Coturnix japonica: one gene and its partner. The protein of the gene in region 2 purifies or fractionates together with the protein of the main gene of each other region. This does not show direct contact. Links are inferred from orthologs where the notes say so. Each region holds a gene or a part of one and is shown on either strand. Other genes may lie near its edges.

Evidence for each region. Proteins that work in one complex are often made in the same cells at the same time.
Region 1: the proteins of HDAC7 (region 2) and SFN purify together in Homo sapiens (affinity purification with mass spectrometry; 3 studies listed by BioGRID and IntAct, with this or other methods). This does not show direct contact. The link is inferred for Coturnix japonica from reciprocal best matches to the Homo sapiens genes HDAC7 and SFN.

What each region holds. Positions count from the first base shown.
Region 1 is NC_029538.1:1,604,309-1,608,787, reverse strand, and holds SFN (14-3-3 protein sigma), read right to left. Parts: upstream 2,187-4,479; 5' UTR 2,034-2,186; coding exon 1,293-2,033; 3' UTR 794-1,292; downstream 1-793. UniProt on the Homo sapiens protein: Adapter protein implicated in the regulation of a large spectrum of both general and specialized signaling pathways. Binds to a large number of partners, usually by recognition of a phosphoserine or phosphothreonine motif.
Region 2 is NC_029544.1:425,383-430,592, reverse strand, and holds the start of HDAC7 (histone deacetylase 7), read right to left. Parts: upstream 3,485-5,210; 5' UTR 2,853-3,484; coding exon 2,750-2,852; intron 1-2,749. UniProt on the Homo sapiens protein: Responsible for the deacetylation of lysine residues on the N-terminal part of the core histones (H2A, H2B, H3 and H4).

The sequences.
Region 1 (4,479 bases), on a different chromosome or scaffold from region 2:
AGAGCTGCACCCTTCGCTGTGGCTGAGAGCCAGGGCCAGAAGTGCTGAGCTTTCTCCAGCGCCGGCACATCCACACCTCCATGGGGATGTCCTCACCTCGGTGGGATGCTGTCACCTCCCCTGTGACAGCTCCGTGTCAGTGCTGGAGGGGAAGAGCTGAAACATCCCCCTGTCTGCACGGAGCCCCAGTAATGGGGTTTGGGACACTGTGGGTTGCGTGGTTTGGGTGGGGACACCATGGGGATGGAGATATCATGGAGGTGGGGACATCAAGATGGGGATGGGGACATTGTAGGGATGGGGACATCATAGGGATGGGAAGACCATAAGGGTGGAAACATAATGAGGATAGGGACACTATGAGGATGGGGACACTATGGAATGGGGACACCATGGGGATGGAAACCCTACGGGGATGGAAATACTATGGGGGTGGGGACACCATAGGAACATCTTGGGGATGAGGACAGTACAAGAATGGGAAAACCAAAGGGATGGAGACACCATGGGAATGGGGACATACAATTGCAGGGCTGGAGACCTGGGACATACTCTCCCTATGGAAAACCCACCTAGAAAGCCCATTCTGAGACCCGTCCCTGAGGTCTGGGGCTGGCTGAGTACCCCCACACCCCATGGCGGGGCTGGGAGGGGCTGCAGGCAGCCAGACCTGCACTTTGGAGGCCCCGAGTGCTCCCCAGCATGGCGTGGCACGCAATGGGACCGGCTGTGGGAGCTGCAGGAGCTGCCTGGGCTTGTGCACGACAGGAGAGATGAGGCGACCACAGAGGCAGACGTGCACGAGATGGTTTATTGGAGCCACACAGAGGCTTCGGCAATTCGCAATCCTCCATCCGGGTGGGGGGCACATCAACCCCCCCCCTCCCCTTTCTCCCCATCCCGTCCCATCACCTCCTCCCATTGCCCCCAAGGGACCAGCGGCACGGCTCTAGCCCCCCAAGACAGAGGGCTAGGGCCCCCCCTAAGCTACGCTGGGGTATCCCCCAAACAAAGTGTTAAAGGGGTGAGGGGAGCATGACAAGAACATGGGGGGGGGGAGAAGGAAAGGGGAGGCCCTGCCAAAGGGCAAACATATGGACCCCACTCCCAGAACTGGAGGGGGGGTAAGGGTGGGGGGGCGAAATACCTTCCCCACTCCTTAAAAAAGGAACAAAACAAAAGGAAAAGACACCGAAGGGCTTCGGGAAGGGGAAGGGGAAAGGGGGGGGAGTCTGGGAGGGAGGGGAGGAGGAAGGAGGTGGGGGATGGACCCCAGCTGCATTGGGGGCCGTTCAGTTCTTGGGCTCTTCGCCAGCCTCGCCGCCGTCTTCACCCGCGCACTCGGCTGTCCATAGCGTCAGGTTGTCCCTGAGCAGCTGCATGATGAGGGTGCTGTCCTTGTAGGAGTCTTCGCTGAGCGTGTGCAGGTCCCCCATGGCCTCGTCGAAGGTGGTCTTGGCCAGCGAGATGGCCTGCTCGGGGGCGTTGGCGATCTCGTAGTGGAAGACGGAGAAGTTGAGGGCCAGCCCCAGGCGGATGGGGTTCGTGGGCTGCATCTCCTTTTTGCTGATGTCCATGGCCTCTTGGTACGCCTTCTGGGCGCTGTCGATCGTCTCCTTGCGGTCGTTGCCGGAGGCCACCTCAGCCAGGTATCGGTAATAGTCTCCCTTCATCTTCAGGTAGAACACTTTGCTCTCTGCATCTCCGGCCTTCTTGATGAGGTGCTTCTCCAGCAAGCCCAGCACCACGTTGCAGACGCCCTTCAGCTCCTCTTCCACCTTCTCCCTGTATTCATTCACCAGCTGCGCTTTGTCGTCTCCCTCCTCGGTTTTGTGCTCGATGCTGGAGATGACCCTCCACGCCGAGCGCTGGCAGCCCACCACGTTCTTATAGGCGACGGAGAGGAGGTTGCGCTCCTCGTTGGACAGCTCGTCTCCATGCTCCACCACCGCCTTCATGAAGTCCGCCATGTCCTCATAGCGCTCAGCCTGCTCGGCCAGCTTGGCTTTCTGCACTTGGTGGTTTCTTGCCATGGCTGAGGGCGGATGAGGAGCAGGATGAGACGAGGAGTGGGGCCGGGAGCCGTCGGAGCCTCTGCTGAGCTTCACCGCCCCGATTCGCTTTTGGCTGAGCGTCGGAGCCCCGAGCAAGAGCAGGAGGAGCCAACGAGGCTGAAGGAGCGGCCTCCTCCTCCTCTGCTTCCTCCCCGCAGAGCCCGCCCTTAAAAAGCAAATTGCCGTGAGTCATCATGCCCCGAGGCACAGGGTGATGGGGAAGGGGTGAGCGGGTGGCACCCACCCTGCCCTGGATCAGGTGGGTGCCGGGAGGGAGAGGATGTGTTCAGGGAGTTCATGGTGAGCCCCCCCTGTGTCAATGGGATGTCCCACTGGATCAATGGAGAAGTCTGGATCAATGGGACATCCTATGTCAGTGGGAGACTCTGAAACAATGGAGGAGGGAAGATCAACTGGGGACCCCGGATCAATGGGAAACCCCAAATGAATGGGAGACCTAGAATCAGTGGGGACTCCAGATCAGTGGGGGAGCCTGAACCAGTGGGAGAGCCTGGATCAATGGGATACCCAGACCCACGGGAGACCTGGAATCAGTGGGATCCCGAAATCAATGGGAAACCCCAAATACTTGGAAGACTTGGGATCAGTCAATGGGATCCCCAGATCAATGGGGGACCCTGAGTTAATGGGGGAAACCGGATCAATGGGGGACCCCAAATAAATGGGAGACCAGGAATCAATGGAGATCCCAGATCAATGGGGGACCATGGACCAATGGGGGAACCCTTCCCCATCTGCCAGGAGTGCTCAGAACAGGGAGCAGTGGGGTCGTCACATTGGGGTGAAGCAGGAAAGCGGCAGCACCCAGTGCCCCCATCCCAACCACCCTTAGAGAAACAGCACGGGGAATAAACCTGGCTGTAAAAATGGTCTCCTCCCCAAAAATCCCATCGCTGTCATTTTTATATGATGATTAACTTGTCGGTGATTGCAAGGGCTTGAAGGGCTGGTATTTATTCCCACTGGTGGGGAAATCGAGGCAGGAGGAGCAGCACGTTACCCCAGCACTGCTGCAGGGATCAGGGCCAGGATTGGGATTGGGGCATTCCCAACTCCTCCACCCTGCCTGCTCAGGGGGAATTGCCCTGGCACTTGCAAGTACTCAACCCCAACCCCCCCATTGAACCATCATTGGACATCCCCAAACCCAAGGCAGCTCCACACCCACAAACCCCACTGGATCCCCATTAAGGCTTCTCCACCACCCATCCCCATGTCCCCCACCCTCTCCGCTCATCCCACCGGGGCTCTTTTCTCTCCCTTTACGCTGTACTGGAAGAATTGGGATTATTATTCCTTCTTTTTTGTCAGTCTCATTTTGATTCGAGTTCTGCCCAGCAGCGCTGGCGGCCCCGATTAGGATCTGAGCTCGGCGTTGCGCTGCAGTTTCGCTCTCAGCCTGTTCCCACACGCCGGCACAGGGCAGGGTGCGGCGGGCAGCACGTGGGGATGGAGCCAAGGGCTTCACCAGCGCTGTGCCAGCACCCTCAGCCCCATCCCTGACATCCTCTCCCCATTGGGGTTGCTCAGGGCTGGCAGCTCTTGGTCCCAAGCTTATGCGGTCCCAGTCCCCATCCAGCCACATGGTGGGGGCTGTTGAGTTTGGGGCTCAAAGTGGACCCCCCGTGAGCACTGCTCGACCTCATGGATGCACAGGGGCTGTGGTTTTGAACAGAATGCACTTCTGCCCCCTACCCCATAGGAGAGACCACAAATGGGGCTGTGTATGGGGGCAGGTCCCCCCCAGGGCACAGCATGGAGCTCGTGGGTTTGGGTGCTGCCAGAAGCACCGAGCTGCTGCCAAATGTTGGTGGCAAAGAGCTGAGCAGGAGCTGCAGAAATATTCTGCTCTACTGGTTTTGGTGTGAGTTAAGGGGGGGTGAAGGAAGAGCCCCAGCTCTGTGCCCTGCTGGGGAGGGGTCAATGGCCACCCACCACCCTCAGAGCACCCATGAACTCACACAGCTGCAGTGAGGGATGTGGGATGGAGCCCAGCACCACACGGACAGACAGGAAATGGGAAAATCTTTATTTTGTTACAAAAGTAAAAGGCAGAATCCTACCAGGCTCAAAGCCCTTTGCACAGGGGGAAGGGGCCCATCCCCTCCATCAGAGCCCCATAGCGATGGACCGGGGGGTGGGAAGCTCATGGGGAGGGTGAGCGTTGACCGTGCACCATCCTATGGGGTCGAGTGGGATGCAGTGGGCAACACGCTGCTGGCTTAATCCCAAACCCCCCCAGGTAGGGCTGGATGCTGGGAGCCCTGGCTCAGTACGTGGCTCTTCCCCATGGTGGGGGGGAGGAAGGAGGAACGCAGTATTGCACTCGGGAGGGAAGCTGTATGGCTTTTTGGCCCCTGCTGTGGGTGGGGGGCTCAGAAAGGCTTTGGCTTGCACACGGCTG
Region 2 (5,210 bases):
CAGCCCCCGCCCCCATTTCCCCCCATCCCAACCCAAGGGTCTGCTCTACTCTTTGGCCAAGCAACCACGATGGCTCCATTCCAGCAATCCACATGGCCAAGCCAAAACTGAGAAGTAATGTTTTTATACTTGGACTTTTCAGGCAGGATTTAGTCATTTGTGGACACTAAGGCTTGGCGGGATTCACTGCCTCCACTCACCTACTGCAGTGAGCAGCTGTTTGTGATGGCAGAGCCCTGGAGATGGAAGAAGAGAGACTGCTTGTGATTTATTCCAGGTGAACCCTGATTTAATCCAGGAGCATCCAGCTGACGAGGAAGGAGTCACATCCAGCATGCAGCCAGGCACAGACTCACACAACACAGCTTCACAACAACAAATCCAGCGGGGACTTTTATCCCAATCTACCTAATGGCTAAAAAATTAGTTATAGGCAGAAAAGCCAAACCCACTTTGAGCGCACGCTTGCTTTAAGGAGGCAGAACAACTGAGACCTGGTCTGTCATACTAGAAAAGCAGGTTCCAGCACAGCTCTGTAAGGGCTGTACAAACCCTGTTTGCTTTGCTTCGTGCCATGAGCCCCAGCCATCAATGCCCATCTCTGGGAGGCCCAAGGAATCATTGACACTACAGAAGCCCATGGCCCTGAACACACACTGCTGGGGCTCCAAGCAAAGCTCTGTGCAACCTACAGTCTTCCAGTGGAGAGTCAGTGTGCTAACAAGCCTTTGTGCACTTGTGCCCTGATTGCAATTCCTTAATTCTTCCTGCCACGTCGACAGCAAGGTTTACCACTGCTGCCACAAAGCAGAGGGCAGTTCATGTTCCCAGCATTGCAGTGAGGAAACGTTTTGTCCCATTGCACAGCAAAACCTTGCAGCATCTGCAGGGAGCCTGCAGGCACTACAGCATGTGTTCAGTGAAGATTTGCTCAGAGGAGTTTGCATTATGTGGTCACATATCTGAGCCTGTTGGTTCATCCTACCCGCTCCTCAACAGCTCCGGTGCTGTAAGCAAGGCCCTGTGTGACAGTTAAGGCAGAGAAGAAAGTGAGCTGAGCCTAATCTGGGCTGCCAGAAGAGAGAGACAGCAGGAGGAGGGGAAGGGGAACGGGCATCATCCCCTCCATCTCAGCAAAACACCAACTCCACTGTAAATCCCCACCTTAGAACCAGAGCAAAACTTCTGAGGCACGAGCCTAGGGCTTATCTGCTGCTCCCTCCCTACTCCCACATTTCTGTTATCAAACCAACGCCACTTATCTTACAAATCCTGCCTCTTAAACCAGCAAAGCCACGTCGGTTCCTGCAGTGCTGAGGCTTGGCTGTGCTCCTCAGCTTCAGCACAGAGCCCCAGAAACACCAGCAGTCCCCATGGCACCTTGTGTCTGTTCAACTGCATCCATATGTGGGTCCCACCATCGTGCTCGGCAGCCACTGACCCCCTTCCCCACAGGTTAAATCACTTCAAGCATCCTACAGGCTGAATTTATTTAGGAGCCCATAACAAAAGTTTGAAGGAAAGGGAGTTAGTCCGGAGCTGTGCTTCATAACCAAGCGTGGGATAAAGCTCAAAGGAACATAGCAGAATTCACCATGTCAAAGCTCAGCAGCACAAACCCATTAAGCACTGACCACTGGAGGAGAAGTGCCTCAATGAGGAGCCTCTGTGCCCTGCAGGCTCCTGCAGCAGTCACACAGCTGTCCCGGCTTTGAGACAGATAAGGCTCAAATGATTCATTCACTCTAAACCTTTATTTGTTCTTGCTTACCCAGAAAGAGCCAGCAGCTGCTAATGCTAAACTGGGACAGCTCCCAAGCTCAGACAAAGGCCTGCAAAAACAGGTTTAAGGAGGAACTGATTGTTCAAAAAAAGCAATCCTAGAAGAGGGAGTTAGAAAGAAGGAGTGCAGCGCTGTGCAGGAGGAAGAGGAAGCCAGAAAGCACCTAAAAATACATCTTAAAAGAAGCAACCAAGCACAGGACAAGGGCCTCGCCTGCACGTGACCATCACCCACAGCACAGGCAGGATGTGAGCTTGGTACACAACACTCACTCCCCAGCAACCCTGCATAGAGTGCTTAGCAAAAGTCACAGCCACCATCTTCTGCCCCAGGAAAGCTCAGTTCTGCCATGCCACAAACGTTCTGGGTGTGGAATGCTGGCCCATTTGTGCTCTGATCACTCTATGCAATGTGCCAGATCCACCCCAGTTGGGAACCCATCAAAACCCAGCAGAGATGGCATCGAGCAGCTTCAACAAGTTGAAGGAATTTAAAGGAAGTCTGGAAAGCAAGATCAATCCCGAGATGCGCTCTAAAGAAACAGATAAGCCCTGCTAAAGGACTAACACAGGGTCGGTCCTTTGGGCTACGTACCCATCTGGGTAACACCTTCAGATGTGATCAGTTTCCTGTGAAACAGCTAGAAATGGCAAAGCAGGAGAGCTGAGTCTCTCCTCCTCCTGCTGCTACGGCTGGGGCTGCCACTGCCTGCTCCTCTCTTGCAACTGCAAGGCTGCAGAAAGCTCTGATGGGCTGAGAATGGAGCACGGGTAAGCAAATCAGCAAAGAACTTGACCTGCTCCTGCATGGACCCAGTGGGGTCAGAGCTTCAGCTCTGCTCCATGCAGGCAACACTCAGTGTGATGAGAAGGATGCTCCCAAATACCTTCAGCCAACCCACCCCAGTCAGGAGTCAACACTGTTCAAGGAAGGAAAACCCCCCCAAGGGATATGAGAGGCACTTACAGGACGGGCTGAACATCACCAGAGCCGCAGACAGAGTCAGAGCTGTGCCCTGAGGCTGAGAACATCCAGCTAGTTCCGCTCCTGGGAAGCCACCGCTCCGCATCCCACATTCACTTCTGCTTCACTCCTGCTGTGCACGTATCTGGTCATCGGGGCAGCACCGAGACGCAGTAAGATAAGCCTGCTTGAAGATGGGCCAGATGCAAAAGGGCACTTAATGAACTCTCGTGCACTGAGTCATCCCGTCTGCAGAGCCGTCTGCCTCCTCCGGAGCACACACCAACGTCGGCAACTCTTATTTCATGCTCACGTAGGTGTGGAACCCTTTGAGCACATCAAGCTGAGGCTGCTGCTGGGTAGGGCTGTGCCCGAGCCGTCCCTTCAAAGCTGCCATGAAACGCAAACAAAACTTCTGCATGGCACAAGTTTTGCTATTCTTTACCCTTCGGTCCTTGAACTCATGACTACTGAGTAAGGCGGCTTGCTCAGCTAACCAGCAGGCTAAGAATAGAGACCTTGAAGTGAAACCTACAGGGATTGGCAGCTATTTTGAGAGCTCTCAGCCGGCGGGGCGGCGTGACATAAGAGGATATAAAGAGGAAACTGCACGACAACTCTCACCTCACCAAGAAAGATTTGGTTAAGTGAAGGTAGAGCCTCCATGAGCGCTTTTGAGGCAAAATAAACACAGAGATGAGCCCCCGAGGCCACCTCTACATCAACGTGGGATCCCAAACCAGGCCTGGCAGCTCCGTGATGCACCCCCAGGAGCAGCTCAGCCCCTTCTCTGTGCTTCCAAACCCCCTGCAGAGCCTCACAGCTCTCCAGCAAAGCACACGCATAAGAAGGGAGGGCTGCAATCGTGCCCGGTCACCAGATGTGTTTTGAGAAAGATCTGGTCTCAGTTAGCAGCCAGCATTAAGATTAATGTAAGGAAATTTAAATGGCAATACTCGGAGCGTATTTGATTTCAAGCCTTAGATACTTGGAAAACAAACATACAAGCTATGGGTTCTGGAAATCAAGGCTGCCACCTGAAACCAGTCCCTGCAGCAAGCTCCCAGCACATCCACCTCTCGGCACATGCAAAGCAGAGGTTCCGAGCATCAGAACATGCTGAGAATGGTGGTTTTCTCCTGGTTTTTTGGACAGGATGAAGCTGCAAGCAGGGACTCCCAACTGACCAGCTTCAACTTCTATAAAGACATCCACTAAAACCTGCACGGGGCACTGGGAGAACAGCACACCTCCAGCAGCTGCTTCTTACCCTCCTCCTGCCTTACCACCAGCCTCTCTGCAGCGGATCTTCTCACCCTGTAGCCACCAGCAGATAATACTGGAAAGTTTGGGGCCTCTTAAGTGTTGCTTAAGGCAGCTAGAGCTGGAAAATAGCAACGCAGGAAAGAGGAGACTCTTCTCAGTAGTCGTACCCCCGGGCTATGCACAGAAACATCCTCTGAAGCCTCAGCGCATCAAACTGCCAGCGAACCTGCAGGATTTACATAAGCCTTGAAGTTTTGGATAAGAATCGAGGAAGAAATTCAGGAGGCAATCCTGCATCGAGCTCTTTGGGAAATGACGTTCTCCACATTTTCTGTGCCGCCCAAGGCTTCGCTCTTACGCAACAGCAGCTTTTGAAAAGGCAGCATCAGCATCAACACAGCCTTCTCCCCCCATTGCGTAAGAGATTCCCCTTCCGTGAAGGCTTGGTTTTGAGGCATTACTTTTGGATAGCGACCAGGAAGGCTTTTTTGATCCTAAGTGATCCAGTAAATGCACTGAGCACCTGGGAGAGCCATCAGCAAGCAGTGCCACAAGCTGACAGCCCGAGCTGTGCACCACCCAGCCATACACCCCACTCCCAGGTTGGCACCAGAGGATGCTCCAGGCTAAAGCACTTCTCCACCATGATCACAGTCCCTCTTGGAGGCCAGTCCAAGGTCCTCGCTGCTCTCAGCCCTGTCCCAGCTCCCACACCTCCCTCCCCTTGTACCCTATATTGAGCACCCATAGTCCCAGCCCAGCACACACTGTCGTGCAGATTGCAGGGAGAGCATAACCACTTTGCTTCATGCTGGTGGGAGCACCGAAGCATGCTGTGCAGCCCTGGGAAGAGCTAACCCTCCCTCTGCTGTGTGCTGATGTAAATAGTCCATGGGATGGAGCTTGTGGTTGTGATAAGGTGCAAGAAGCCAGGTAGCCACTGGAAAGATGCATTGAGCACAGCACCATCCACTGCATGTAGCTTTGAGCATGGTGGACTGAAATTCAAAGAGCAGGGAGGGCAAGCAGGTATGTGTGATGGATGTGTTAATGCATCCAAGTGTCACACAGAGCTGCTGCCCCACTCCAGCCCATCCTTGGGACCAGGAGCACCATTGCTCCTAAACATCCTCCCATATTACCCAACAGGGACCACAGTGACAGGGACATACGTACTGACTGCCACCTCAAACCTTGC